Linked DNA regions of Lepisosteus oculatus. The main gene of each other region encodes a partner of the protein of the gene in region 3 in a complex. Links are inferred from orthologs where the notes say so. Each region holds a gene or a part of one and is shown on either strand. Other genes may lie near its edges.

Region 1 (8,079 bases), on a different chromosome or scaffold from region 3:
AAACGGAAGGACGTTTAAAAAGGTCCTGCTCCGTTCACTTGAGTGCTACGATGCGCGTCTCGGCGGCGAGGAGAAAGGGGCACAGAGAGGCGAGGAGGTTAGTCGAAGCCCACTTCCAGGAATGGGGGATCACCCTTCAGGGTCTGGAAGTGATGCCTGCCCTTCTGTCGTTCACAGCCGGCCAGCTGTTTGCTCTCTAGAGATCTCAGAAACAAAACTAACTAACAAACCCCCAAAATGTCCTCTAAACGATTTTGAATCCTACTGGAAAGAATGAAAACAAGAAGTCAGAACAAACAAAAGTCCAGCTTTTGGGGTCACCCCTCGGGCAGCAGTCACCTCAGTGGGGGCTGGGACTGCCGAAGACGGGGCCTGCACTGGCGTGGACACTGGACCGTTGGGCTCCGACACCTGTCTCTGAGCGGACCTCTCCACCCTCACGTCTTCCAGACCAGGAATAGAGGAGAGCTAATAGGGGAAAACCAACATAAAAGCGCCCGTTGGAAATGTGAGCCATTTAAAGTTGTAAAAGTTTTAAACCCCCAGAAAGTGGCACAATAACAGTTACTGTCATTCCCCTGTGTTGACTGTTTCCTTGTGACTTTAAGCAATCTGCACATTTCTAACTTATTCGGAGAGGAAGGGCCAAATTATTTAAATATGAGATACTCAATAAATCATACGTGTCCATAGACCTGGAACAATTTCACTGTGATCAGTTAAACAGGTCGTGTGCTCAATTAATCTTTTGGAATCCAAATCAGAAGACCCTAGCCATCACAAATTAGCTCTCTTATTTGAACAATTACTTGTTTAAATGTGCAGTAGCTCCGTGACTAAGGAGCTGCGCCTGTGGCTGGAAGGTTGCCAGTTCGTATCCCACAGCCGGCAGAGGAATCCTACTCCACTGGGCCCCTGAGCAAGGCCCTTCACCCCAGCTGCTCCAGGGGCGCCGTACAATGACTGACCCTGCGCTCTGACCCCCAGCTTCTCTCCCTGTCTGTGTGTCTCATAGAGAGCAAGCTGGGGTATGTGAAAAGACAAACTCCTCATACAAGAAATTGTATATGGCAATAAAGTGATCTTATCTTATCAGTGACTTGAAATTGTCTCTAATCTTCACTTCAACCTACAGTAGAAATCAAACTGGACTTGGGTTCTTGAGAACTATGGTTGAACGAGGGGTTCTAATTAATGCATAAAAGACACTAACTTATTCTTTATCAACTATCTAAATCATTTGACAATGGCAATGATTGAATCAGGCGATGTCTTTCTGTGTTAGTGGTAAATCTTTCCCTGTGTCTTAACTTTGCACTACTGTAAGTTACAGTGTAACATGCACTGTGTGCATCAGGGTTCTTTATGAAACTGTACTCTATATTTAACTATAGTTACCAGGGTCTGATGGAGAGGTAACATACTTACCTTAGCTTCTAAAATATTCAGAGTTGTTTCAATTTGCTGAATCCGAAGTGATACACTTGCTAGTTTCTATAAAAGTAGAGAAAACAATCTTTGCATAGTCTATCAAATGAACAGCCTGTGCATATCAGTACAAAATGAGTTTAATTTAAAAATACGCTACTGTTAAGAAGGGTTTCCTCTGCTGTTATTTAAAATATAATTAAAAGGACAAATTCAGATGAGAAAATGCAGTGTTTTACGTCAACACCATACTGAATGAAGTGTTGAAAAAACTGTAAGGGAAGTGGAAATGGTAGATGTAGGTACCTCCTTATTTTTCAAAATATACCCTAAAGAGAGACCAAATGACAAAAATCATCTTTCTCTTAACTATCTGTGGATTATAACAGCTAATGACATTATTATTATAATTTTATCAGCACTTTTCAAGAAACTCAATGCGCTGTGCAGTAGTGTACACATACACAACAAAAGCAAATAATGAAAAGATGAGCAAAGTTTATGATGGATTTGGGTTGCGAGTTCCACACACAGTGCTGCACATGAGAATTCTCAGTCTCATTGTGTGAGTCCCGGTCTCCAGCTGAAGAATAATTGGTTACACTTCTGCGCTTTTCTGGACACTCCACTCAAAGCTCTTTACAGGTAATGGGGACTCTCCTCCACCACCACCAGTGTGCAGCCCCACCTGGATGATGCACCACTACACTCCCCACACACCAGCTCTCAGTGGGGAGGAGAGCAGAGTGCACCAGTCCACTCCCCACACACCAGCTCTCAGTGGGGAGGAGAGCAGAGTGCACCAGTCCACTCCCCACACACCAGCTCTCAGTGGGGAGGAGAGCAGAGTGCACCAGTCCACTCCCCACACACCAGCTCTCAGTGGGGAGGAGAGCAGAGTGCACCAGTACTCTCCCCACACACCAGCTCTCAGTGGGGAGGAGAGCAGAGTGATGGAGCCAGTTTAAAGATGGGGATTAATAGGAGGAAACTTGGCTAGGATGTCGGGGTAACATATTTCAGTGTCAGACAGGCAGAGCAAGTGGTCTTAGCCGTGCAATCTTACACAGGCACAACACATCGGAGCAGCGTGAAGCCAGCGACACAATTAACACAAGCGGAGCAGCACTTACCTCCTCGCATACCGTGGAGAACCGGTTGAGAAACCGAACCGTGTGCACAATAAACTGGTTGAGAAACGCAACGATTCTCTTCTGCTGAATGGCTGGAACCTGCAACACGAAACAACGTCTTATCAGTGTTTCTTTTTTAGTAGTAGTTTTTTTTAGTATATGCCTTCGTCGAGCGTGCACATTTAGTAAAATACTGCATCGAATTGTCTTACACTACACTGCGAATTTCATATTATTTTCTTATTCCAACTGCACCCTAAAAACGTCCTTTTACAGCAAAAACGTTACCGCAAAGTGATAGACAAATCATTTTGTCAGGCACCGACACATTTTGTTTCGTAGAACACATGCACCTTTGACCTACACAACACAAACCTTTGTCAGGTCAATTCCCGATCCCACGATTGGCAGTCCATCCTCGTCCATGTCTTTATTTGCACTTTTTAATTTGTAAGCAGGAAAGAAACACACACTTGTCTGAGAATCACACAAGCTCCGGTGTTTCCTGTTTTATTTGCGGAACGTCACGCGGCGGAGTCACGTGCAGCTCACGTGATTAGCAGCAACCCGGAAACAATCAGGCTTTTGTGCATTTTCCAAGCGAATATAAATATATAAAACAAAAGATAAAAAACAGAGCGAATATACCACAGTACTGTATCGTGGTAATTGCTGTTTTCCCACCCGATGTATTACTGCAGTGATTTTGCTATTTGCTAATAAACATTTTTGTGTATTGAAAATGAGAGTTAAGAAATTTTAAATATTAACTAAATATTAATTGTTTTGTTCGCTGGTATTGACGGATTGGCAGGCAGCTGTAGCTAGATAGTTTGGTACTTCACGCGAGTCCGGAGTGAAATATGTTTGAAAATTGTGTGAACGTTGACTAACAGAGGCAAAGTATAACAGAGTAAAGGGTCTCAGTGTGGGAAAAGAATGTAAGATTTGGTTAGAGTCGTATTTCGATTAAACTCTTTAACAAAAGAAGGACATTTATTTTGAGGTCTAAAATGTCACCGTTTTGGAACACAGGAGAATCTCAAATGATAGTCACAGACATAATTTAACTGACTAACTTAATACAGTAGCTCTACAATACGAATCTTTCTAGGACCGGATATAACAAGCACTGAGAGGAATGATTTTTTTTGGAAGAATCACAAAAAAGCTGTCAACCAACAATCGCTTAATTGCACACAGTCAGGACGTTTTCTTTTCGTGGTATTCCTGTAATTGGTGTTCCGCGAAGACGTCGGTTTACGTTTCATTTTGATGAACAAAATGCTATCATGCCAATCCACCACTAGATGGTAGCACATTCTACAGTTGTGATTTAAATGTTCTCGAAAGTAATTGTACCAGATTAAGCACGGCTAAATGCAACAAATTTCTTTTGTAAAGTATACATTCATGCTTATATGCATTCAGAATTAACAAACAGCCTCACTACAACAGGAGACAGACGTGAGATGCATCAATACTATATTATATACTTCAGTCATTGTAAGGGGCTGCCCAATATTGAACTTCAGGCTTCAAGACATCAGGATTTTAAATTAAAAACACGGCATTTAGGTAGAAGTCGTATTTAAAAGTAAAAGTGCTGATAATGAAAACCGCTACCTCAGTCAGTCTTTGTTACTGGGTCAAAAAATGAAAATTCACAGCTATCAGCTACAGTCACTTTAATTCCAACAGCAATTATCCTGCTCAATTGGGATTGCTGACTGTATATTTGACTATATTTATCAATATTTATTTTGTTTCGCATCACACATGCATGTCTATTATTTCTTAATGGATTCACATTGCGTTAAACATATTGTGTCACGTGTCAAGCACGTTTCCAATCCGGAACAGAAAAGGTCAAGTCAGTAAGTGACCAATGGCTCTAAATGAATACGGCCTATCGACCTGTGCTGTGGAAGGTCTCTGCTCCTTCGATGTTCTCAGGATATCTGACCTGTGAGGACAGTGAAGAAGGAACAGGCGTGAAAAAGAGAGGAGAAAACAAGAGACACTGTCCTCCTCCCTTTATTAAACTAGCGTGTTTGTTTTCCTCGCTGTGAAATGGGGGGGCCGAGTGTGGCAGCCGCTGCGCAGAGCCGTGTCGGACAGCTCCTGCACACTGACTGAAGCACAGCCTTCCACCTCCGACCAGCCCGCCTCCCCCTCCACTTTTTCCTTGAAATCTCTAATTGCTCCTCGTGGTTCCTGCCAACCAGCAGTATACGACCTTAAAAGACCCCCAGTCTTAGTTTCCTGAGGTTTTCTTTGAAAAAATCTCTTCCAGCTTTGTTCCGTTTCCTTCTCTTGGCATGACCTCAAATACCCTCTGCTCGGGGGTTCACCCACTTTTTGGCTGGGTGTCAACACGGCCTCCTGTGCCTGCAGTCTTTGAAAAAGGTGCCTCACAAGACCGATCTGGCCCGGAATCCAGTCATTTCACGAGGCAAATGTGAAAGACGTGGTGTTATTACTGCTAAATCTGTTTTTAAAAATGTGCAGTCTGCACATCGTCATCAAATTAAATGTCCCAGAAATGACCTGCACTTCAGCTTCACTATCAAACTTTTCTAATTTGGCCACTTTTGCTGCATTCCTCCTAAAAGATTCCAAGGCAAAATGCGATTAAAAAAAAACCCACACTCTAATCTCTGTGTGTACCAGCCACACGCACACTCTTACAGTGTTTTCTGTCTTTAACACATTTGCGTGTTGTGTCTGTGTCCTCTGGTCACAGTGTCCTTGCTAAGCTTGAAGCTGTGCTAGTTATTGTGTTCCTTTAGGACTGTGAACATCTCCATCACATCCTTCTCATTCGTTTGCCAATTGTTTGTCGTTCCTTTCGAATGGAAAACATTGCTGCCCTTCTTGAAATTCCTCCCAATGTATTTCTGACATGCAGTATAATGACTGGAACTGAGCGAAGTACTCTGAATATGGTTGCAGAAGCATGTTGCAGTTTTAAAGCCACCGGGGGTCCAGAGATCTTTGAATGTCAGCTCAGAACCTTTTACAGCAATTCTAAGCATCCTGCTTGACATTTAGAATGTACAATCTTATTTGCATTTAATACCTGCACCGCATTTCTTCCTACATGAGTGGGGTTTGCTTCTCAACCTAATTTTGAATAATTATCTGACACCACCCAGGATTAGGTCACTAATGTAGATTAGAAAGCTCACTGGGGGCTCCTACTGATCTCAGCATCACACTATTAGCTACATGGGGCTTATTGGCTACTTTGATTCATGTTATTACCCTCCTTACTGAATACTAACCTATCCTTAAAAGGGGTGCTTCCTCAAAGTTAACCTTTCATGCAAAACTGCCCCAAAACCTCCAAATCAAGACATTGTAGGGCCATCATCCAGTGCAATTCCCTTGGACCAGAGAGAGAGGACTGTCCTGTCATTAAGGAAGTTGGAACGGAGGCTCAAGGGATGACAGGATCGACACATGTTGCACGTAGCTGAATAATACTGACGCCGTTTAATATTTGTTCGTGAGTTTCTACCCGTGTGGTTAGTTTTGTTGACCACCTCAGTAGGCTCATTCACGATGCCCGCAGGCTGTCAGTTCTATGTGTGAGTGTGCACGCACTCTGTGTTGATGACTCTGCAGACAGAGTGCTGCTCAAGAGAGTATTTAAGTCACATTTGGAAACAGCAATATGCTTTAGATCCCAGACAGTGCTTGCAAATCATATGATGTAGTACACACAGTTGTATTTTTGCTTCCTCAGATTAATCTCGAACCATTCAATTTATAGCTGTTTTCTAATGTCTTGTATGATAGTCCAGATACATTTCTTGTTTAAATCTTGTGACTCTTTACATTCACTTGCTACAGTATAGCTTATACAATGCCTATCAAACTGAATCAATGCTTTGCAAGTGGTTCATGTGTCATATCCACCATCAGGTTGGTTTGTCTGAAATTCTCCTACTATGTGGAACTCTTCAATTTTGGTACCTTGGAGACTGGATCATTTTTTACCATTGTTGTGTTTCTTCCTTCCTGAACATCTGAGTAACAGAGCACATGTGCTCATGCCTTTTCATCTTCTAAATGGATCCATTTCTATCCCTGAGATGCCGTCTCACACTTTAAGGTACTTCTATGGTTATGGCACTGGGGAAGAAAAGGGTTTAAGTTAGGCACAGCCCCAACAGTGTTCCGTTCTGCCTACCTTTCCTTACTTAGCTGAGCATTCATTGCGTATGCTAGCCCTGGGGCAATTCACTTGCTCTGTGAAGGGGTTTCTTTTTCCTCGTCGATCTGACCACCTTTCACTCCTCTGGTTTCTATATCTTTGCTTATTCACACGTCACACGAACATGCTCTTCACAGCTGTAAAATAATTTTGAAAAGAGCAAACCTTCTTCCTAACAAGAGAAGAACGGATATGGACAAGAAGAGAGCCGGCGGCCCATCTAGCCCGTTTGGAAGAGTTAGAGAGGTGAGCCTTACAGGCACAAATACACACCTCTGCCACCCCAGGAACATGTGCTGCCTAACACAGGTTCTTGAAGGTTGTTATAAACATCTTCATTTCATGTGAACTTTATTATTAATAATGTAGCCAATGCTTTTATCCAAAGCTGTTCATGTTTGTATTGGTGTTTTCATGAATCCACATGAGTGAAGTGCCTTGTTCACGGGTTCAACAGCAGTGTCCCCCCTGGGGCTCGAACCCACAGCCTGCCAGTAACGCGCCCAGGCTCCCCCCTCGTGCACTGCGTCTGTCTCGACCGAGCCTGCTCTGTGCCGAACTTGGAGCCTGCTCTGCAAGTGACGAATCTGCTGTGCAGCGCGCTGACACATTCCACTCCAGAGAGCACTGACCCCAGACTCGCCCTCAGCTGGGCTGGACAGCGGTGGTTAAGTTCTTTGAAATACTTTTCTAAGAAAAGCTAATAAAAACATCCGTGTCCTGCTCTCTTTAATCAAACTGTTATTGTCCTTTGTGGGCAACACGCAAAGCACTCTCAGAAGAACAGAAGAACAACTGCTCATTGTTTAACTGATACACTTCTATAAAAAAAGTTTTTATTGAAATTGTAGCCATTTTAACAGAACATATTATGCAGCCGATTTTACATTTCTGTCATCCAAAACAAAAGCTTCCGGTCTCCACCAATCACACACAGTGGGAGGGTCCTGTGCCAACTCAGCCCCGCCCCCACAGAAGCTGATCCAATCATCACCGGCTGCAATCACAAACAACATTGAAATAACAATTAACTTATCGATACACAACACAACAGTATAATTTACCTTCATCAGATCAGCATATCCATGATTGCTTTTAAAGGTACGATATGAAAAGCAGATTATTGGGGGGCACCAAATGTTTGAAATTTCAGATGTGTGCTTTTATTGAAATTCTAGTCTTTGGGTACTTCTTTAAAAAAACACATGATTCATCCTGTTGCCAAAAAGCACAGAAGTGTACCATCCTAGATCCCTATGCTATGTTGATATAATGTTATTTTAAGGTTTTAAACAA
Region 2 (7,551 bases), on a different chromosome or scaffold from region 3:
AGCAGGGACTATATTATAAGCATCAATGTTTTCAATCAAAAACATGCAATAAAAACATAAACCTCATCCTAATGTAAGTTTTTGAGATAGGTTGCTTTAGAAAGATTTATGGAACTTTCAGTGGCTAAAGGTCCCTGATGCCACATAATCAACTTTTTCAGAGCTTTGGGTCCACGAGATAGCCAGTCACACACGCAGAGCAGCCTTTACTAAGTTTCTTTGAGACATTTGATTCTCAGGGGTGAAACTGTAGTGTTTTTCAGGGATACTGTATAAAAATAAAATAATGTGAATGCTGACCTACTGGGTTCAATATCTGGGACGAACCCATTTAGTTTAAAAAGAAATTGAAAAACTGAAGGACGCTCCATGATTTTTAGTACTGCTCTGCAGTCTCACTAGCAAAGGATGGGTGAGATCTTTAAGGCAGTCTTACAGACTGTAAAGAAAAATGTGGGAGATATATTTGACATACAAAATCTGTCATGCATCAGGCATACTTCTGGACCTGTTTTTTTATTTCTTAAAGGAAATACTATTAAAGGAAGGAAAGCCTTTATATCATTTTACACAAAAATATTAACCAAGAAAAAGAATGACTGGCCTAAGGCATCTGTCTATGTGGAGTGCATTTTTTCTCTGTGTTTGTTTGGGATTTTTCTAGGTGCTTATCTCACAGGAACAACACCAAACAGACAAACTCCCAATATTAGAGCTGAGCTAGGATTGTGGATTAGAAGGAAGCAGGCCTAACCATACGATCCTTCTTGATGTTCATGTAATGAGTCTTTCAGCTTCACAATGCAAAATAAGGTTCTCCTTGAATGAGTGTAACATATTCATGTTTCACTTTATCTACCCTGTTGCAGAAATTTAAAGTAAATTAATGTTTTTTTAATGTCATGGCAAGAACTCTCAATTTTAAACTTTAATCATTTTTCCTAAGTAAATTCTTGTGAATTAATCACTAAGTCTAATAATTCAAAACCCCCATTCCGCATTTAGAGACTTGACTGAGAAAAACAGATGATTTCAAGAGTGGATGCGAAATAAAATATGGAAGCATCATAATCTCCTAGCACTTGCCCTGCAATTTTCCTTTACAATGAAAAGTCGACAATAGGAAAACAAGTTGAATACAAATCACAAACATAACATTCCTAAACCTTCAATGCCACTGATTCATTGCAAACAAATAAGGCAAGCAGAAAAAAATCCAAATGAAACAAAATTGTGCAGAACAAAAACTAATGTAGTAGCTAACCATGTCATTCTATTTAATACTGAGTTAAAAATCACAATATTAAAACCACACAAAATAATTGTTTAAGATACATCAATAATGACAGGAAATGTAGTTTATTGAAGCTTTTAGAGCAGTTCTTCAGTTGCTAAAGTATTTTAAGCAATGACATATTTTTTGTTCATAAAAGAAATAGAGACATGCATAAATGTTCTAAAACCTCTTCAAAATAGGAAGTACAGTAACTTTTAGTAGTAAATATGTACAGTAATATTTGGAGGAAATTAAAGATTTCATAGATTTTCCTTCTAAAAGATTAACACATTTATGTGATTCTTTGGATAAGCCTTCAAACTTGGTGATTAAAATCCATTAATTTGCATTAACTTCAAAGTTGTACACTGTGTGGATCATCAGTAAGAAGTGTATTTCGAAGAATGCCTAAAAATATATCATCCCAAAAATGTTGTATAACATCTATTTTTTGTAGGCTGACTACTGACCCTTTTCTTTGTTTTGCATCTTGTGGAACAGCAAATGTGTATTGAAGTCAATATTGTGAACCAACACTAATCCCAGCAATCACAAGCTGTTAAAGTGCAGTGTGTTTCATTTTACACCTTTCCTCACAAGACAGGAGTGTGAAGAGGAGGAGGCAGCTACTGTCTTGGCCAAGTTCTTAGCCTTTATACGAGAATGCATCTTGGCATTCCATTCTGTTAATCTAAACTAATGTGTTTTCATCAGATCAGGGACTAACACTATGATGGGATTCTATGGATAGATGCTTTTTATTGCAGTATTTTTCACTTAAGCTATTTTTCTGTCTTGAAAATGCTAATCTATTTCAAATAGTGAAAGTAAAAAATAAAAAGACACATAAACCTTACATTTAACAAGTACCACTTTTATATTTGCAGACGTTTAACCTCCATTGCTACCACTATCAATCCCAACTGATATTTTGCAAATGAAATACAGTACATCAATCCTTGTTCTAACCCCTTTATCCAATACAGGGTCAAGCAAAAGAGTACAAGGTGGGATATACCTTGGATGTGGTGCCAATCCATCGCAGGGCACACTCAGACACAGAAACGCACACGCTCACGCTCACACCAGGGCCAGTTTTCCCAGAAGCCAATTAACCTACCAGTATGTTTTGGGACTGTGGGAGGAAACCAAAGAACCTGGAGGAGACACATGCATATCCAGGCAATTTTTTATAATTCTAAGAAAGTCACAAATATTTCCCTGTAACACTGTTGTACTTTGCTGTGTGGAGGAAACCCACATAAACACAGGGAGAACATATACTGTAAACTCCATACAGATAGCACCCTAGGTCTGGAATTGAACCCAGAACCCTAATGCTGTGAGGCAGCAATGTTAATCATTGTGCCACTCAGTTTCACCCATCATTTTATAACCATGATTTTCCTAATTACGGCACATAGAGTCAAAGGCAACAATATTTTTTCCCACTTAATCAGTCATTTTAAAATATGCAGAAAATAATAATGTTATAACCAGGAAAACATATTTTTATATAAGTTAAACTTATCAGATCTTAAAAAAGATTAAGTGACATTTATTGTTAAAAAAAGATTGAGAAACATCATAGTTTTAGATACTTTTTCTCTTCTCTCATGTCTGGCCGGGTCATGGCCTCATCGCATATAGCTCATAAATTCAATACTACTTCCACTTAGAATAACTGTATTTTATATGACTTAGATTTTTATTACATGTCCCTGACATATTCAGGTTTCTTTGGGATACACTGTCCAATTTTACATTTCATGTTAGATTTTTGCAAAGAAAAGGGTTATCTTTTCTACAGACCAAACTTCTTCTCATTTAGCCTACAGTAGGTCAAATATGATACCAGGAAATCCTGCACTGCTTCCCTTCAGTCTGCAAAACATGAGTAGGCCTGGTTGAAAAAAATAGACAAGCAATAAGAAAATTGAGAAATTATTATCATTTACAAATATGTACATCAATAACTTTCTTTTTGTGTGGTGCACCTAGTGTACAAAAGCAGCATCCTAGCTGTGATTCGAACCCACAATCCTTCAGTCTAGAGTTTTAACCAATGCTCCCCCAGAATTCTAGCATTGATGTTGACATTAAATCCCACACAATGCTGGGTTCCAATTAGGATGTCCTTAAAAAAACGAGGACATTTTAAGAGAAAGCTAACGTGTGTTGAGATAGGGGAATGTCTTGTCTAACTAACTTGCCAGATTTCTTCTAATAAGCAATGAGGACATTAGATATTATAAGCATATGACATAGAATATTAAGATTTCTATAAAGCATTTGATATGGTCCCTCATAAAAGGTTGATTTTCAAATTAAAAGTCACAAAGATTCTGGGCAGTGCCACAAATGTGAGTAGTGGAGTGTAGAGATTCATTTTTCCTGAGCAATGGGAACAATCTAGATTCTGGTATAGTTAGCAAACTAGTCAAACTAACAATTTTTTCAATAAAACTAAAATAGGTGGAGTGGGAAACACATAAACAGTGTCAAGGGAGTAACAGAAAGACTTATACAAAATCATGGATTGAGCTGACACTTGGCAAATTAAATTCAAGAATAGCACAAAGTATTTGGAACATACTCCATTTGTATCACATTGGTGCTTCTGATGTGCAAAAAGTTACACACAAAAGGGATCTGGGTGTTTAGGTAGATTTTTGTATGGCCTCATCAAGACAATGTAGGGAAGGAAAAAAAGCCCACACAATGCTTGATTAAAAAGACTGGAATTTAAATTCAGATAATTTATGGTAAAGGTCTACAATGCACTAGAAAGACTTCAACTACAAAATTGTGTTAAATTTTGGTCACCATACCACACAAAACATCATACATCCCTATAAAGACTGAAGAGCCAAAAAATAAGAGCCAGGAAAAGTGTACTGAGATCTAAAACAGGCCTCTCAGCTAGGTGGATGAAGCCCACACTCTGGAAACTTTTTAGATTCACTTAGCTACTTGAAAAGAGCACTTTGGGCCGAATGCCCCCTCATGTTGTTTGCAGACTTATTGTGTTTTTAGGTAATAAAGGATATTTACTTCTTCTCAATGTGAATGATACGCAGTTAATCAAAAATTCCAAGTTACCTAAACAAACTTAGTTTATTAAGCAACTCACGTTTGGTCTAAAAAAGTTCAAACTGAAAGTGACGATAGCGGAGTAGTAACTACTGTAACTTCAGGAAACTATCACAGTGAGCAGGTTGTTTGTCGGGCACTAAGACCGAGCGGACGTGCTGTGATATTGTCAGTTACACTGTAGGATCTGAGTGACAACAGGGTGAAGTTTAAATGAAAATAAGTATATTAAGAAATCATTAATGGTCAGGTAAGGAATCCTACTTTGTTATTCCTGATTTGTGTTTTATGAACTTAATAGGCGTTCTTTCGATACCGCACACAAAGATTTTGTGAGGGGCCTAGAAAAAAGGGAGAGCCAGGGACTCTTCCTGCGCTATGTGCGGGATTGAAAGTCACCACGAAGGGGGCGAGGCTGTAAGTTGATTCCCGTAGGACAGAGAGAAATATCGGATTTAGAGTTAATATAAATTTGAGGAACTGGACATAACAGCTTGTATGTTATATTCATTGAAATAAACGTAAAGTACGATTTGACGTTTTAAAATTGTAATTGCAGAAAATAATACATTTCAAGCATTGTATACTTTCGCTATTTTTTATAGCGTTAGTCATACTTCAATCTGTCACTTAGGCTACATTATAAAAATGTGTGATGCTTCAAAATATCTGTGTACATTAGTACGCGATTGAGTTGTGACGTTTTAAATTTTTAATTCTCACAAGCCTATTCTCAGTAGCCTCTTAATCCCCTATACCCCTATCCCCTATACTCAAATGCAAAATCTGTAATTTAGTTTTGTTCAGACGGTGAAGGTAAAGGCTAGGTGTCAGGTTTTCCTCTCTTATATCACGCTTCTAAGTGGCGGAGAACTATTAACAAGCTGCTTTGTACTGCATCATAATTAGCTTGATCACTGCTGTTTAACCAAGTTGTAGGAGAAGTCACATGAGATGTTTTGACGTGCCTTTCTCGTCTCGAACTTGAGCATGATTTTAAACAGTGCTGATTCATATTACAGTATGTCTGTGCACAGTTTACACTAACTGCAGTTAGATAATTGAAACTGTCTTCCTTACTCATGTGACGCTGGTCTGGTTGACTCTTCCTGTTGAAAAAATGCAGCGCACTAGCCATGATATGTAGAGGTTCTGGCTGTTTTCTACAGTCAACCCCTTGAAGTACTCCAATAAAGTGCTTTCAACATGTGATTTGTATTTCGTCAAATGCTTTTAATCGCGTTAAATTGATATCAAATTGTAACTTAGTCGTTTTTTATAGGAATTATATAAAATTCTATACTCTCCATCTCCAACAAGGAAATTTAATGATTTACTAAGTGTAATAAGCAGTTTTTTATAACTATTTTACTATTTATAGCTATTAAATGCAAATGTATCTGAATTTAACTGGCATCCCATCCAGAGAGTACCCTGCCTTGCACCCATTGCTTGTCAGGATCCCTTGCAACCCTGAATTGGATGAGGCAGTTAGAGGATGGATGGGTGTGATGAATTGGTTAAAAGCAACATCCGAACGCATGGCAAATTCAACTTCAGAAATCCACGAGAACCCAAAATAAATCGATACCATTTTTGTTGCTTCATTCTTGTAATCTAGGTCTTGGAATCCTCTAATCCCATTATATCCATTTTTTCATGGTGTAATTTTGTGAAAACATTGGAAATTACATTTTGGGGAAAGTTAATGACTCATGTGGAGACTTGAAATTACACGTGTGTCACAAACTCTGGATGACTGTTCCTTAAAATTTTGTAGCAGTATTTACATTTGGACCTTGGCTACATCCCTTATGGGTAAATAGTTGATTTAAATGTACATAAAACTTTCCACTTATCCTTCTTTGTACAGCTTTCCTGAAATGAGTTAAGGGCTCAATTTTTCTTGAATGTCCTATTCATTATGAGTTGAACAAGGCATGTGATGCTTGTGTCAGAGTTGAACTTTTTCTGGTCAAGCTCACTCTTTTTCTTCAAGCAGAAGTTTTTTATAGGGTTTTTCTAAATAAAAACAACATGACTACCATTCTTGTGCTCAGTTCACCCACAAAAATCACCTCCATGTGATTGTATTTATCATAACCTAAGGTGGTTAAGCAAAACAAATTCTTTCCTGGTTGAGCTGGTGTGAAAAGGACACTGTACTTTGATCTTGAACGAGAAAAGAATGTGTTTTGTGTGTCATTTTAAATCTCATTATTATCAGTGGCACATTTTACATTACTGAGCAGAAAAACGTGAGAGATTGAGAGTCATCATGAAAAGCTTTTTAGATTTTAAAAGGAAAATTAATCTCACATCCTTTAACTCTTAGTCTGGGACAGCCAGAACCTTCAGAATATTCTCACGCTCAAAAGTTTTGTTCACATTTTCTACATTATTGAAACAAGATTTTTATCATTTTTCTGATGGGTCTGTTTTGTTTCCCCTCAATTTTGTATTGATAAATGCAATTATTCTGAAAGAGTCACTTAAGAATTTCCATGAACATGCCATAGCTCTGTGAAAGAAAAAGATAATTAGAAAGACTGTGAGCAGGGAGTTTTGAAAAGAAGTTCTTTCAATCAGTGCAGGCAATTTCTTTAGCTTCTGTCCTCTGAAACCAAATGTTTCCGTCTCCTGGAGTCTCAGAATCATTTGTCCTTAGAAAAAGCGCTGCAACTTGTTCAGTCTTTACATCATATTTCTCTACATTTTCACATTCCGTATTCATTGCAGCTCTATTAAGTGTACAACTGAGCATTGTAGTACCTCTTCATTGTCAGTTATAAAGTGCTTGATTGTATATTGTATTTCCCTATGTGATGTTTGGAAATTCTGTTCTAGTGTACTGTGTTCTCACTGTGCCTTCCATGCATTTAATTTGGAATACATTAAAAAGATTTTTTTTAAAATCTTATTGAAGGGAAAACTAAATCACATGCCCCTTAACTATTTGTAAGGGACTACTAGACTACTTCTTTAGACTATTCCCACACCCACAGAGCACAGGTTGAAGCTGCAGAGAATTATGCAGATAGTATTACAAAAAAATAAAAACCGAACAAAGGAAAACTGAAACATATATGTTTTATGCAGTGTGTAAATCACGAAAGTGTACATATAAGGAAATGCTGTTGTCCTACTTCTCCTTTAAAGTGCTTATGTAGGCACACCAGAGC
Region 3 (7,206 bases):
AGCATCCTCTCTCTGACCTCACCTTCAATCTTCTGGTCAATGACCAACAGCATGACTCCATACAAATAGAGAGCTTCACACTATATATATATAAAACACAGTCAATAAAGTCAATTGTTAAAAGCAGATGATAAAAGTGAATAAAACAGTGCTGTATTTCTACAATGTTAAAGATTATGTTCAGTTCTCCAGAAACCCAGCTCTCAGAAAGAGCTTAAACGTGCAACTAATTTTGTTGAATAAATGCACGACACAAACATACCACGAGCTGTTTCCCATCTTCATTCAATAGAATGGTTTCCAATGTCTGCTGAATGTAAACACCTTCATTAAGATCATCCAGATACCTACAAAGACACAACGCGATTCATCCGTGTGAGAAACATGCAGGTCTACAGTTCTGCAAAGTACAACGTTCACATCCTGCTTCTAGTAATGCTTTTAGAAGGCATCACATTGATTTTCCACATTATAACACAATGTACTTCTTGGTACTGTGACCCTTTGAAGAAAGACCTGTCAAAGATAAGTTGATGCACTCTGAACCATTGGTATATCCATGCAGCAAAATTGTGCACAAATACCAATCAGTGACATGTCACACCTATAGTTCTCCTGCTATATTAAAGACAGGGACTGAACACCAAGGTCACAATTAAATGCTAAATATGTAAGAGACAACCAGAAAAATAATGAAGTTCAGGAAGATCTAATTACCTGTTTAAATCCACAATGTATTTGTGGACACTTTCAAATGCAAGGTAAAAGCGTGAGAGTATTTCAATGTTATTTTCACGGAATTCTTCGTCTAAATCCTGGAGCTCTGGCTTGGCCTCCAGTTTGCCTTCGTAGTGTTCTGGACCCTTGGAGAAAAAAAGACATAACAGATTCCTTATAAAGCATATTTATACATCATGATAGCTATTGCATCCCTCTCTCTCACTGCCATAAAAGCACATTCATTACACTTCAGATTGTTTGGAGAACAGGAGACTCCTCTTTACTCAGAGGGTTAGGGGGTAGGGAACAAGCTACCTAGCCATGTTGTTGAAGGCAAAATGCTGGCTTCTTTCAAGAAACAGAAGAATGAGATCCTTGGATCAAATAGCTTTTAATTACCAAATGGGTTAGATGGGCCAAACCGCCTTCGCTCATTTCTATCTGTTCTTAAACCAAGCAATAGGCCGAAGTTGAACATTTTCAAGTAAAAACAAGGTGGCAGATGAACATTTAAAGAAATGATTGAGTGGAGTGGTGGCTCTGTGGCTAAGGATCTGCGCCTGTGGCTGGAAGGTTGCCAGTTCAAATCCCACGGCTGGCAGAGGAATCCTACTCCGTTGGGATTCTGAGCAAGGCGCTTAACCCCAGCTGCTCCAGGTGCTGTATAAATGGCTGACCCTGCGCTCTGACCCCAAGCTTTTCGCTCCCCATCTGTGTGTCTCATGGAGAGCTTGTTGGGGTATGTGAGAAAAAAAGTTCCTAATGCAAGAAATTGTATAGGGCCAATAAAGTGATCTTATCTTAACATAAAGGTCAAATGGAACCTGTCAAAGAGACACAGTTGAACGCACTTTACCTTAAAGTAACTGAAATCACAGATAATATCCCCATATTTCTGTTGGTCAGTTTTATCTTTCAGCCTGAAGACACTGGGAATGAAGTCCGAGAGTCGGAGGAGTTCTGCAATGACCGCATTCCCTCGGGAAACAATCCTCAAGATGGCTTGGCCACACAAATTATTCTCCGCTAGAAAGTCTACCATGGCTGACACTCAGATCAAAGCTGCAGAGCCAGAAAGATATCCTAAAGCATTCCTCAGCCTGGCACCGTCAAAGAGTCATACAGTCCGGAGGAAGCTCATCTGGTAGAGGCACGGGACCTAAAACAAAACCAAGCGAACAAAATGTAACCAAAGATCAAAGTTTAATATTGAGGAGCATATAAGCCAGCTATGTCACTTCATGAAAGTCAGGGTAGTTTTTCACATAATTGGGCTGAGCATAAATGTATTAACACTTTGAAAAGATTACTGTAATCTGTACAGACAGCAACAAAGCAATGAGAATCGTTCAGCAAACCTTATAAATGGCAGAATTATCATTTAGAGTAGCTAGAACTACACTTTTTGAGGAATCAGATCAACCACAAATCTTTGCTCTAATATTTTCCTTAATGAATTTAATCTTTTTAAATCGCTGTTGTTATTTTTTTCCACAAAATATATTGATTTGATTTGACTGATATTGAATATATGGGTTGATTTTGACAAACAGGGTACTCATCTATATTACTTGGCACATTGCTGCAAGCAGTGTTATGGGCCCATTCTTACAGAGTCTTACAAACCACAGTACAGTCTCTACAGCGCTACGACCAAGATGACATCCTTTAGAAATATGTCTCATGGACTCCACAGGTACAGTAAGATTAAAAAAATGCTCCATACTCACTTACAATTATGGAGTAAGTCTTTTGCACTAAAACGTTAGGTGCTGATATTCCATTGAGATATTTTTATATCTTGAAACAGATAAGCATGAATATTAATAACATGTCCATAGCCTGGTAGGAAGGAACTGACTACTACTGATCAATTTCATGGTTTTTAACAAAAGCCGGATTGTTCTTTCGTAGACGTAACTCAGTTAACTATAGTTAAGAACTCTGTTACACATTTATTAAATAAAGGCTCCTAAAAGGTTAACAATCTTAAATGATCACGTATATCTTTACGTATCTTTAAATTAACGTAACTGTCTATGTTTGAGTTGCGGCTTCAGATTTGCATCTATCGATTTATTTTCCACGAAGATGGTTGTTCCTACTGTACATTATTTCTCCTTACTTCCTAATTTCCCTGTCAGCCTTGAGTTTTGCAATGAGAGGCAGCTCGAAACAGACGGTCCCTTTCTTAACATCGATAGAGCAACAAGTTTAAATTATCTACCTTATCCTTGCTTGTTTCTTGCAAAAAAAATAAAACCTATATGAAATATTGGAATATGAAACCCACCACAGTCCCCTTCCAGTCTCCCGTTGTACAGAACGATCACATGACACTTGGACTGGAATCATATGACCCGGTAGTAGTGTGTGCAGATTTATTTATCGGTGCTGCTGCACCATCAAGTGAGAGCACACGGTGTTCATTGGTGCGCTTTATAAAACAGCAGTACGATTAATCACCATAGGTGCAAAAAAGGTTTACGGCTTACGCCGTCCCTTGAATTCCTCTTTTCTACTCTCTCTGAAGAGATCTTTTCGCTTCGGAGATGTTTTATTACACCGAATTCCTGAAGGCAGATTCTTCCGGCCTTGTGTCGGGCTGGGAGTTGTGGGATACGTGAAGTTCCGGAGCTCTCTCGCCCAGTTAGTGTAGCTCATCATTTCCTCAGATTAGTCACTGCAGCGTGTACAATAACTTCATTAAGAGCCAGATTTATGTTGTTACGTGAAACAATCCCCCTTCACGATCAACGATCGCTTGCTAACCCGCTGCCTCGAAGTTGTGAAGTTGGCACACTGGTCTGAAAAGAGGCTGCCCGAGTTCTGTGGATGCGAGAAAAAAAAAACTAAACTAACACTTCACTGCAGGTGTCACTAAAGGGCTTTTGAATTTTCAACAGCAATCTCACTATCTCTTCGGTTGTTTTCCCAGCAGACACTCATGAACGACTAGAAATTTTTCATGTTACAATTACGTAAATTGTGTACTTAAATACTTTTTATCTTTTAAAATTGAATTAAAAGTGTGCACTATTTATTACTAAATTGTACCACAATAGTTTCTTTCATAAACGATACACACATATATATCCCTTATATGTAATATGTAATATGTTTTAAGTTTAAATCAGCAGGATAAAGCATAAGAATTTTACTAAATGATTAATTGAGGGGTTTCAAAGCAACGGAAATAGACATGAGAGACTTTTTAATTTTTGTTTTTTTTAGAAAATCAGGGAACTACATCAAAGCACGATATAAACCTAACCGTGGTTTATGCAGAAATTAAGCATGCTTATAATGTAAATAAATAACGTAGAAATCTCAGATTAAAGACAAATTTAAATAAATTAAATGAAAAATAAATGACTCTTTGAACGACTACCTCATGCCCTTGCGTATCAATTAAAAAGAGCAATAAAAATATGCAGACACACCTCACATAACCCAAGAGAAAAGCAAATAAAGAGCTAGGACCAGCAGCTTCTGGCTTGACTGGAGTGAGTCATTTACGAGCCTGCACTCGTACAACAAACGCCACTAAAAAATAAGTCTTCATTCTCTAGAATAACTATAACATGAAGAGCTTGGTTTAAAACACAAATCAGATAAATTTGCCCATCTCGTTCTACAGACATGGATTAAGTCTGTTAGCCTGTTCTCTGACGTTTGCATTTCGCTGCTCTTGTCCTTAGACATCCCTGCCTTGAGAGCTGTTTCATACAAACACAAAAAGATGGTCAGTTTTCTTGGGCAGGCATACTAAATGGCTTTAATCAAGTCCGTAATAATTGTACTGTTGCTCTCGCAGTTGGAAGCGTACAGTAAGTACCTGGTCATCGTGGATTGTGGTGGTGGTGCGCGCTGGGGGATTTGGGGCGGTTAGCACAATGAAAGTGTCTTTGCAGGGGGCTTTTACTGCGAACGAAGAAGCAAACAAACACAACACTAATTGAAGATTTGTATCAAAGTGACATCTGTATTTTGGTTTTCCTTGCTGAGTTATTAGCAGTCATAGCCTTATGTTGGGTACTAATAATGTCCTTATGTGTCATCTTTTCCTGACAGTGTTGTTCATCAACACTAAACCCACTGCAGATATCTTATGCTAGTCTAGAGTGTTTGCTGGAAACAATAGTCTCAATTTGATCCTTGTGTAAAAGAACACTGTTTCTGACACAAGCCCTTTGGCTAAATGCATTCAACCTTTAACATGACCCTCCACCACAACACCTGGCTTGGGGGGTAGTTAGAAAATTAAAACAGACTTTCATGGATCAAAGCTTTTGTTACAAACTGCAGAGCTGGGTGGTGTTTGAAGTTTTTAGACCATTTCTTATTTGTTGAATACTGCACATCCTTGTTGTCTTTGTTGGCCAGATCACATGTTATTTGTCAAATTGTAAAAACTGGAGCAGAAATTATTTATTTTAAGACCTCTAAGTCTGTCAGAGGTAAAAACTGTTTCTCTATGTTGTGCAATACTTCAGTAATTCCTTACTTTTTTCAGGAGCCATTGGAGTAGCTGTTTGTACTGGAACAGTTTATTACCATATCAAAGTATATCAGAACACAAATATTAGAATCTGATATCGATTAAAAAATAACACTTATTTTGTTGTTTGAAAAATCAAAATAAAGGCAAAACTCCACAGAGGTAAAACTAGACAAGAGCTCTAAATGGAACACTTTATGTTATCTATGTTTAGAGGTTCTAAAAATTGGAACGAATAGGGGATGTTTTTGAATTTTAAAACAAAGTTTAAAACAGAAATCAATTAAACCTAAAGACATTTACGAAAAACTGAATTTGGAATTTGAGTCCAGGCCATTCAAGATGTACAGTAGATGGCTCAGCTTCTGCGTTCACAGACACGGCAAGGGTTATGAATTGATGCTGTTGTTTTACAGCAGCGGGAGAGAGAGAGAGTCCAGCCGGGTGATGAGCTCTCGCTGCCCTCCAGGTTTGCAAACCAAATTCAGGGCTGTCAGCACACCGTCCTTGCAGTGCAATGTGGGGCCAGCTCTGTGCTGTCTGCTCCTCTCTCCAGCTCTGGGAGAGGCAGGGCGGCTCCACATTGAAGACGCCCACTCACAAACAGCGGGCTGGGCTTTTCTCTTCCACAGAAATCAAATGGAAAGTGGATTAACTGGGCCGTTCCCATGCCCATTATAATACCAATCTTACTCATCAACAGTTCCAGCTGAGCCCTTAATCTCCCGTGCTAATTGGTGCCTCTGACTGATCTGCTAGCTGGTTTACCTTTTTTTTGCTGCACTCAGTCCTTGATTTCAAAACCACCCCAGTGAGAGGTTCATTATTTCCAACACCTTTAGGACGGGGAACTTTATGCAATCACTCCTCGAGTTGCTAATTAAGAATTCCCTCACCCATTTCCAACTAAAACTGCTCTTAAACATTGGAGATTGTACTTATGAAACAATAGTAAAAAAAAAAGGCAACCTCCTGTATTTAGTAACTGAAACCAGAGTTTAAATTAAATCTATACTTTGGTCTATTAAGGGAAAAAATGAATGATTTGAGAGCTCAGACTGAACAAAAACCAGTAGAAGAACCTGGAACCCCAGTTTGAGGGCCTCACCTGTAGTGAGCTTGCTATTAGTTTGCCAAAGGAACTGGGACAAGTTCAGACTATTTCTTACCATTTTCTCTCTTGAAAAATAGCATTAAAATGAATGCTCTAAAGCTTCTGACATGTATTATGTGGAAATTGCAAGTGCTCAAGGAGCAGTAGTTTAGCCTTCCAAGTGCTCTTCAATCAGCTGAATGTTATCTTGGCATTACCACTGGCAGAGATCAAACATGGGTGTTATCAGAGCACTAATGCATTTCAGGAGAGCAAACATCCACTTGAGGTAGGTGATCCTGCGATTCAACAGTCACAACCAACAGTTTGGTTTAACACACACCTATTTACTATAGTTCCATTAATGAGCAAAAATAGACTTGTAGGCACACATGGAATGTTTTCTGCAACACATTGTATTTTAACCTCAAACGAGAAAATGATAAAACGGACCGTCTTTTTGGTAAAACTTATGCAAATGTATACTGCCTTGTACCCTGATCTCACCTGACAGAAGGCAAATCGAAGGCCCAGTTCTCCTGTCTGTGCTGGGATGGGAGTCCTCTACAGTAAACTCCTTCAGCAAGTTGTATTTGTGGACCAATAGCTGGTACTCTTCATTCTGGACCTCAATTTCCAACTCAGCACTCCCGTCTGATGACCAAGGTCTCGCTGCTGTCCCTGGAGCTGCCAGCTGTCCAATCAGATGCTAAGGTCCGGACTACATGGGCCAATAAAGGTGCCATGACTAAAGAGAGGTGGTTTTAACCCTGGTGTCCTGACTCGATACCACTCTGGGTTTATGCAATCTGGCCTCCCTCCTGACCCCCCCCCCCTCCCTGCTCTACTGTGGAGTGGGGATACTGACCTGCTGCGCCTCACCCAGGTGAGG
Region 4 (7,605 bases), on a different chromosome or scaffold from region 3:
CCAAACACCCGTAAACGCCAGCAATAGCAAAGAAGCAACTGTCCTGGAGTAAGACTCCCAGATCGAAACGTGAGAGATTCCAGTTTCCAGCTCTCCAGAGAGCGAGCAGGAGTCAGCTCAATCCAGCACAGCCTCGGGCTGCAGGGCTCACACAAAATGCCGCCTTCTTCTGCCTATCAGAATCCTGCCTACAGGGCGTCTCCGGGACACAACTCTGCCATCTGGAAATCTGAGTCCGCTGTCGGAGCACCCCCTCCCCGACTTCCTCCTGCTCACACAGGAACTGCACGACCACGAGTGAGGGAGCTCGTCCTGCGCACCACCCTGCGCTGCTCATCTCTTGCACAACCTGGGGATGCTACTTGGGGATCCCGGGACTGTGTCATGGGGGCTGGGCAGCTTGCCCACCGGCGCTCCACTCCAGGCTGCTGTCGAGCAGGAGCGCAGGCGCCTCTGTCCCGCAGATCCGACAGCCCGCCTCTCCAGACACACGGCCAAGCAGGACGACCCAGCACGGGCTCCTGCCTTATAAACAAGAGCGCGCCGCTGCCGTTTCATCTTAAACACAGCCAACTATCTGAGTGTGCGGCTCACAACGCCAAAGCCCTCTCCACACTGTGTAAGACACAACACAGAGAAAACAGCTGACGGACTGCCGTCTCCTTCATCCTTACAAAACAGTTACACTACCATCCGCAAGCTCCCACGCCACCTTTCCACAGACAGAACCATCAGCAACGGCAGCATGTCCTCCTGGTTCTTCTGTAAAGGATGTTGCAATGCGACACTACTACAACACCGCACTGGAACTGCACACCGAACGAGAAGGCTGCGAAAGCTCCTTTACTTTCAGTTCCACATGCCCAGTAAAGCCCTCAATTCACCCATTATGTTAACAGCACTACAGTGTCTCCTGACCTAGACTGCAAAGGCAAAAAAGAAAGAGCTCCAGGGCTTTTTTTTCTAGACCTAGGAAAATGAACTGCAAGTCCCGTGTAGAAGGGTTCTTTCACAGCAGCTAGACAGAACTTCCTTCAACCACACTGAAACCGCTGCAACACAATCAAGTTCTTGTCAAGTACACACACCACCAGGGTCTTTTCAAGAAACGCCCTGGGATTTTTACTGACCACAGCAATTCTGGACGGCACCTTTTTACAGTCCAGCCCCTGACCCCTTGACATGAGCCCAGCTGACCCCAGAACTCCTGACCCACTGACCGAAAAGCTACAGATTCCTTTCCTTTTGTTTTCATAGTGGATGGCAAAGAACTTCTATTCTCTAAAGAGATACGAAAGCCAGATCTTTATTGATTATAAATGATCTTGGACCTTCAATACAGAGGTAAGGTTTTTCCATATGGAAAGCACAATGCTGACACTTTTTCTTATGCGAGTTTTATTCTAACCTTTTGTGTTCAGAGCTGGGGAGCTGCTGTGTCCTTGCAGAGCAAAAACAAGTCAAGCAGAGTAATCTGGACGGGTGGCAAGATTACCGGCACATTCCTGAACTCAAAAACATGCCTAACGGGGCGATTATTTATCTCGCGATCAAATTTAGACCCCTCTCATCCTTTCCTCTTTTGAGAAGATGCTCTCCTGCTCCCTTCGTACCAGAAATTCAGATCCCCTGCATAAAGACTAAGAGAGCATTTATTTCCTCCACACCTAACATTCAATTGTTGAGCAATGTACAGAGTTTGCAGGTAGGGATCATGTTATTGTTTTTAGACCCTGTACTAGCTAATCGTCTGTTTTTCAATCTTATGATGTATAACTGAGTTCTGCTTGAGGGATGGGGTTGATTGTCGTCCGTATTGTTGCTGTATTGTGTTACTGTCATTCACGTTACATGCTATGAGCTCTTGATGTGCAAGACAAATTCCCTTAGGGGCACTAAAGGTAGGCTCAATTCAATCAAGACGGTTCTAGATGAATAATATGTTGCATTTTGAGGCGTGCAACTTCTTCACTATGCAACATATTATTCACCACCGCAGCCCGTTTTCAGCTGCTGCGACGGCGAGAATTAGTATTACTACATGCATAACAGTGCTGATGCGAAAGACCTAGGGAGAAGCGAAACGGTTTATTCTGTGCTAATCTCGGGTGAATACGGGCGGAAAAGTGCACAGTACATAAGCACAGATACAGATTCGACCCGTCGAGCCTGTCTGGGAGGCTGGATCCGGCGATCGCGTCCAGCCGCCTCAGAGGAGAGCGGGCTCTGAACCCGCAGCATATCCGGTGTGGAGACTCACGGTCCAGGACAGCCCTGGACCTCAGAGCCCAAACTCTCGCCCTCAGGATGGGCGACCACTGCTACACAGAGCTACACGCTGGGCCAGGAGGAGGGGGGTCCCCATGACACACCCCCGAGCCGACACACAGCTCCAGGTCCAGAAACCAGACGCACCTCTGCGCCGGGTCTAAACAGCACCCAAATCACGACACCAATGACCCACCTTCAGACGTACAGCCGAGTCTCACCGGAGAGCCCCCGGACGACAGGCAGCCGAAACCCAAAGGCTTTTAACACAGCGGCAGCTCTGATCACTCTGGCGTTACGACAGCCGGCTCTGCTCCCACAAATTCGGAAGTACAAAAACACCTTACTCGTCGCGGTATGCTTTTCTGCGCCTTCACAAATATCAACTGCACAACTGTCAATGAATAAACATTACTTCGAGCTGCCACGGCTCGTCCCGACAGACGAAAACAACACAGGTCGCACCTGACTGCCAGCTTTCTGTGCGAGATACAACTACCAAGCTTCACCAGTTCCGCTTTCACTCTCCTTCACACAGGCACCAACAAAACACCAAACTCTCCGTTACTTCGTCTGCCGTAACCCACATAAACGAGATCGCTTACTCTGAGACCCGTCGTCAAAACGATCAAACTCCCAATCCGGAGAGACTGTCTCCACCGCCATCACCACAGTCCGTTTTCTCAGCTGCAGTGACGGCGAGCAAATGTGAAGTGCCAATTTTTTGGGATCCCGTGATTTACCCCGTGACTTCCTGTTTCCCTCGAGCGAGGAACTGTGGGAAATGTAGTCTATACAACGCCTACGTTCAAACTCAAAAAAGCTTAATTGTAATGACAGGTGACTTACAGTATTGCTAAAGCTGTATTAGGCTGTGTGCGTTGAGGCATTTCTGTGTGCGTTGAGTCAAGGTATATTATGTTAAAATATATAGTATAACGCACCAGTAATGCATAATTTAGAATATGGTGTTCAGTTTCGGTCACCACATTATTGAAAGGATATTGCTGTTCTGAAATCAATCCAGAGAACAACCAGACACATTCCAGAGAATAAAGGAGTGAACTACACCGACAGGCTGAAGGAAGTTAAGATAGGATAAGATGACTTTATTGGCCAGATACAACTTCTTGCATTAGGAATTTGTCTTTTCACAGACCCCAGCTTGCTCTTCATGAGACACACAGACAGGGAGAGAAGCTGGGGGTCAGAGTGCAGGGTCAGCCATTTATACAGCGCCCCTGGAGCAGCTGGGGTGAAGGGCCTTGCTCAGGGGCCCAGTGGAGTAGGATTCCTCTGCCATCCATGGGATTTGAACCAGCAACCTTTCAGCCACAGGCACAGATCCTAAGCCACAGCACCACCACACCACCCAGTTGAATCTAGTCCAGAACAGAGTCTAGTCCAGAACAGAGAAGACTACAAAGAGAGCTAATTCAAGTATTCAAATCCTTGAAGGTCCTGACAATGTCACCCCAGCAGACTGCATGGAAGTTCCTATTAAAAGCAAGAACAGGAAGGCCCTGCTTTACCCAGAGGGTTGTGGGGGTGTGGAACTCTAACGTTACCAAGCCATACTGCAGGAGCTGACAGCCTGGCTTCCTGCAAGAAACAGCTGCATAATATCCTGGAATAAATTAATTACTGACAAATCGAGCAGACTGGGGCTGAATGGCCTCTCTCCTTTGCAGCTTTTCTTATGTTTTTATAGATGTCCGCTATGCAGAGGGAGTCACCGTCTGTCGGAGACCTGTACACACTCAGACTAAAGAGGCGATCGGAAATGATGGTCGACGACTCCTCTCAGCCAGAACAGAACCCGGTGCGTTTGAAAAAGCCGCCTCAGGAAAACTCTACCGGTCGACCAAAACCGCCCGGGATCTGAAGAGCTTCTGCGCAGGCAGAACAGGGGAACACGGACGTAGCGTGTGTTTGTGTATTAATGTGTTCCTGTGCATGTCCCTTGTGTGAAGTATATACATGACTCGTTTCTATCTATCCATCCAGGACACCAGTCCGAATTCCGTTTTGACGGAGGAGGTCAAATCCGTGAATAATCGTGTGCGCTTCTCTCTTCTGTCAGTACTCACTTCCGCGCCTGGGCAGCAGAGGGCGCTGCCATCACGCTGATCGCCTTGCGGGAGTTAAGACGAGGACAATAGCAGGACAATTCGTGCTGGCTCTGGGTTAAGAGAAATAGACATCAGGCAGCATCGTCCACGCAGTGGCTGAACTACCGTACTGGGCAGTACTGTCCCGCCAGTGTTACAGTCTGAAATTAGACGTCATGGGACACTTTCTTTACTGGCACGACGGATGAATTACAGAGTTGCCAAAATAGAAGCAATTAACGGAACATTAGCAATAGAAACATTATTGGACATTTGCAGAAATAACAAAAAAAACACATTACTGAGAGACAGACTCACTGCTCCTCAGTGACACACTGTCTTATTTTTACTGAGAGAAGGCTCAGTGTTCCTCAGGCTGGGACAGGAGATCAGTTTAATTATTACTATTAATAATAATAATAATAATGATAAGACACACTGGCCCTGCTGGACCAGGACTGGACACCCCTGCTACAGACACACTGGTTCTCCAGGACCAGGACTGGGCAGCCCTGCTACGGACACACTGGTTCTCCAGGACCAGGACTGGGCAGCCCTGCTACAGACACACTGACCTCCACTGACACTGACCCCAGCAGGGGGAGCTCACCCTGTGGTCCATGTGGGTCCTAATGCCCCAGTGTAGTGACGGGGACACTAGACTGTAAACAGGCACCGCCCTTCGGATGAGATGTAAAACCGAGGTCCTGACTCTCTGTGGTCATTAAAAATCCCAGTGTGTTGTGTTTCTCGAAAAGAGTAGGGGTGTTACCCTGGCGTCTTGGCCAAATTTCCCTTTGGCCCTTACCAATCATGGCCTCCTAATAATCCCCGTCTCTGAACTGGCTCCATCACTCTGCTCTCCTCCCCACTGAGAGCTGGTGTGTGGGGAGCATTCTGGCGCACTATGGCTGCTGTCGCATCATCCAGGTGGGGGAGGGGATCCCCATTACCTGTAAAGTGCTTTGAGTGGATTGTCCAGAAAAGCGCTATATAAGTGTAAGCAATTATTAATTATTATTAATTAAATTCCTGTGTTTAATACGATCATGGACACAGTCCACAGGAGTCTGAGGGCAGCAGAGGGCTGTTGATGCAGTGTGCTGCAGAGAGCCTCACCAGCTGAAGCACCAGAGCTGTCGGGGTGATTTCCTCCTGGGGGAACTCCTCTGTTCTTCCAGGGCCCCACCCAGCCTGTTCTCTCACTGCAGAGAGCAGCCAACTCCACCGGCCAGGGGTTAAAGTAAGACAGCGGCGGCTGGCGACAATTGAGAATTCAAGGTCATTGCCTTCGTAATTCACCCAGGAGCAGCCAGCTGCCAGGAATCCATGGAGTCCTTTGTCTTTGAGGACAAAGCCAAGGTCTGGCAGAGCCTGGGAGGTTGTGAGTTAAACCACTGCTGTAAAACCAGATCTCACCTGTAAACGTCGGAGAGGACAGTTCAGGGCAGGTAGCAGGTAGCCCTGGACAGCACATTAGTCCATCACAGCAATGCAGACTAATACGGGTGGGTGGACTGGAGCAAATGGGGGTAAAGTACTGTACCTCTTTCAGGGTACACCAGCAGTGTCTGCCGCAGAGATCCAACCCACAGGCAAGCCCACAAAGTCCAGAAACCTAAAACTATCCTGCCCCAGTGATCCTATTGTAGCAGTATGTGACAGGCTGTCAGCTGCCAGAGCTCGGGCTGCTGGTTATTACTACCATGACTAACAGCAGCTGTGGTCCTCTCTATATAAACTGGTGCTCTGGTTAGTATATATGGGATTGTGGAAGAAACCTGAGACAAATCACACCCCTGGACCCCTTGACCCCTGGATCCCTTGACCCCTGGACCCATAAAGAACAAGACAAATGACAGACCCAACCTTTGGATCAGTGGAGACACTGATGATCGCCAGACCTCAAACAGACACAGGACTTGTTTCTTTTCTGGGGGGGCTTTTACTTTCACTTTGCAATGAACGTTGTTATTCCTGTCTCTCATTTAGTTTTTTGTCTAATTGAAGTCAGTGCTGCCTTGCTTGGTTTTGCTCCTATAAAAGAGCTGTTTTCCGACGTGCAACACAGTATTGACACACCTTCTTATTTCGGGGTAACGTTTCCAGCAGAAGCCTCAGTGCAGCGTGTCCGGCAGGTCGGGGTGCCCTGGATGAGCCCTTCAGGTGACGCGGCGGGACAGAAGCAGGGCCCAGCCGGTGCTCAGCAGCACCGTGCGACTTGTTGCCTCTGCCTCCCGGCGGGACAGCGGCCGAGCCGGAGGGATCACCCCTTCTCTGTTACCACCAGCGGCCCTCAGTGCAGTTCTCGCCAACGAGCTGATCGGCTGCAGCGGATACCCCTTAACCACAAGCGCCGCCGCACGAGTGACTCATCACCCCCGGCGGTTCCTCGTACACGCCGTGCCTGAACCCTCAGTGCGCACTGCTCGGGGCTCGGTACCCGTTTCTTGTCTAGAGCTTCTACCTGCCTTGTCTGGTCGGCCCTTTTGGACTCGCACCTCACTGCTCGCTCCTTGACCACGACTTTGCCTTACGATTTGGATTGGATTTCCCTGCAGACGCCTTCGGCTTCTGATCCCGTTTCTCGTTCCTGGACCTCAGCCCTGGCTTACCATTCGGCTTTGGATACCCAACCTCGCTTGCGCCTGTTGTCTCGATCACTCTCTCTTACTCCACATGGGAGACCCTGAGATACTGGCCTTGGTTGCCCTAACATTCTCTAACCTCTTCATCCAGTCGGGGGTCGCTGGGGAGCCGGAGCCCCTTCCAAGGGCGCAAGGCAGGTTACGCTCTGGATGGGACGCCAGTCCAGCACAGGGCAGACAGACACAGACACACACCAGGGGCTCCAGAGACACACTGGTGGGTTAGTCGCGGGTGTAACTGTGCGTCTGCCCTGTGATGGACTGGCGTCCCGTCCAGAGTATATCCTGCCTTGCGCCTGGTGCTGACCGGGTCAGGCCCCAGCTCCCCTGTGACCCCCTGTGATGGCTGAAACTCTACAGAATCATTTTAAGCACAAAAGGCGTAGCCAAGACCCCACTGCTCCAATAATGCTTTGAAAGCAGCGCATCAAAGAATTCCTGTCCAACAATGGAGGTATGTAGGATTAATAAAGAATTAAGGAAATTAATCTGCAGGCGTCCCGTGAGACTGCTGCCTTTTCCCAGGTGGAGCTGCATTTCAGAGCTGAGCAAAGAGAGGATTCTCTTGTGAGCAAAGT

Evidence for each region.
Region 1: washc5 (region 3) and washc3 share a complex: the UniProt entries of both Homo sapiens proteins name them as parts of the WASH core complex. The link is inferred for Lepisosteus oculatus from reciprocal best matches to the Homo sapiens genes WASHC5 and WASHC3.
Region 2: washc5 (region 3) and wash1 share a complex: the UniProt entries of both Homo sapiens proteins name them as parts of the WASH core complex. The link is inferred for Lepisosteus oculatus from reciprocal best matches to the Homo sapiens genes WASHC5 and WASHC1.
Region 4: washc5 (region 3) and washc4 share a complex: the UniProt entries of both Homo sapiens proteins name them as parts of the WASH core complex. The link is inferred for Lepisosteus oculatus from reciprocal best matches to the Homo sapiens genes WASHC5 and WASHC4.

What each region holds. Positions count from the first base shown.
Region 1 is NC_090702.1:54,884,458-54,892,536, reverse strand, and holds the start of washc3 (WASH complex subunit 3), read right to left. Parts: upstream 3,108-8,079; 5' UTR 2,988-3,107; coding exon 2,937-2,987; intron 2,661-2,936; coding exon 2,562-2,660; intron 1,495-2,561; coding exon 1,429-1,494; intron 469-1,428; coding exon 340-468; intron 1-339. Other genes in the region: nucleoporin Nup37, read right to left, coding at 7,667-7,780. UniProt on the Homo sapiens protein: Acts as a component of the WASH core complex that functions as a nucleation-promoting factor (NPF) at the surface of endosomes, where it recruits and activates the Arp2/3 complex to induce actin polymerization, playing a key role in the fission of tubules that serve as transport intermediates during endosome sorting.
Region 2 is NC_090702.1:11,587,123-11,594,673, reverse strand, and holds the start of wash1 (WASH complex subunit 1), read left to right. Parts: upstream 1-4,485; 5' UTR 4,486-4,611; coding exon 4,612-4,619; intron 4,620-7,551. UniProt on the Homo sapiens protein: Acts as a component of the WASH core complex that functions as a nucleation-promoting factor (NPF) at the surface of endosomes, where it recruits and activates the Arp2/3 complex to induce actin polymerization, playing a key role in the fission of tubules that serve as transport intermediates during endosome sorting.
Region 3 is NC_090705.1:7,631,278-7,638,483, reverse strand, and holds the start of washc5 (WASH complex subunit 5), read right to left. Parts: upstream 3,110-7,206; 5' UTR 3,014-3,109; exon of another isoform or gene 2,948-3,013; intron 2,476-2,947; exon of another isoform or gene 2,455-2,475; intron 1,880-2,454; 5' UTR 1,763-1,879; coding exon 1,577-1,762; intron 864-1,576; coding exon 718-863; intron 348-717; coding exon 263-347; intron 81-262; coding exon 1-80. UniProt on the Homo sapiens protein: Acts as a component of the WASH core complex that functions as a nucleation-promoting factor (NPF) at the surface of endosomes, where it recruits and activates the Arp2/3 complex to induce actin polymerization, playing a key role in the fission of tubules that serve as transport intermediates during endosome sorting.
Region 4 is NC_090702.1:56,844,990-56,852,594, forward strand, and holds the start of washc4 (WASH complex subunit 4), read right to left. Parts: upstream 3,007-7,605; 5' UTR 2,935-3,006; coding exon 2,874-2,934; intron 1-2,873. UniProt on the Homo sapiens protein: Acts as a component of the WASH core complex that functions as a nucleation-promoting factor (NPF) at the surface of endosomes, where it recruits and activates the Arp2/3 complex to induce actin polymerization, playing a key role in the fission of tubules that serve as transport intermediates during endosome sorting.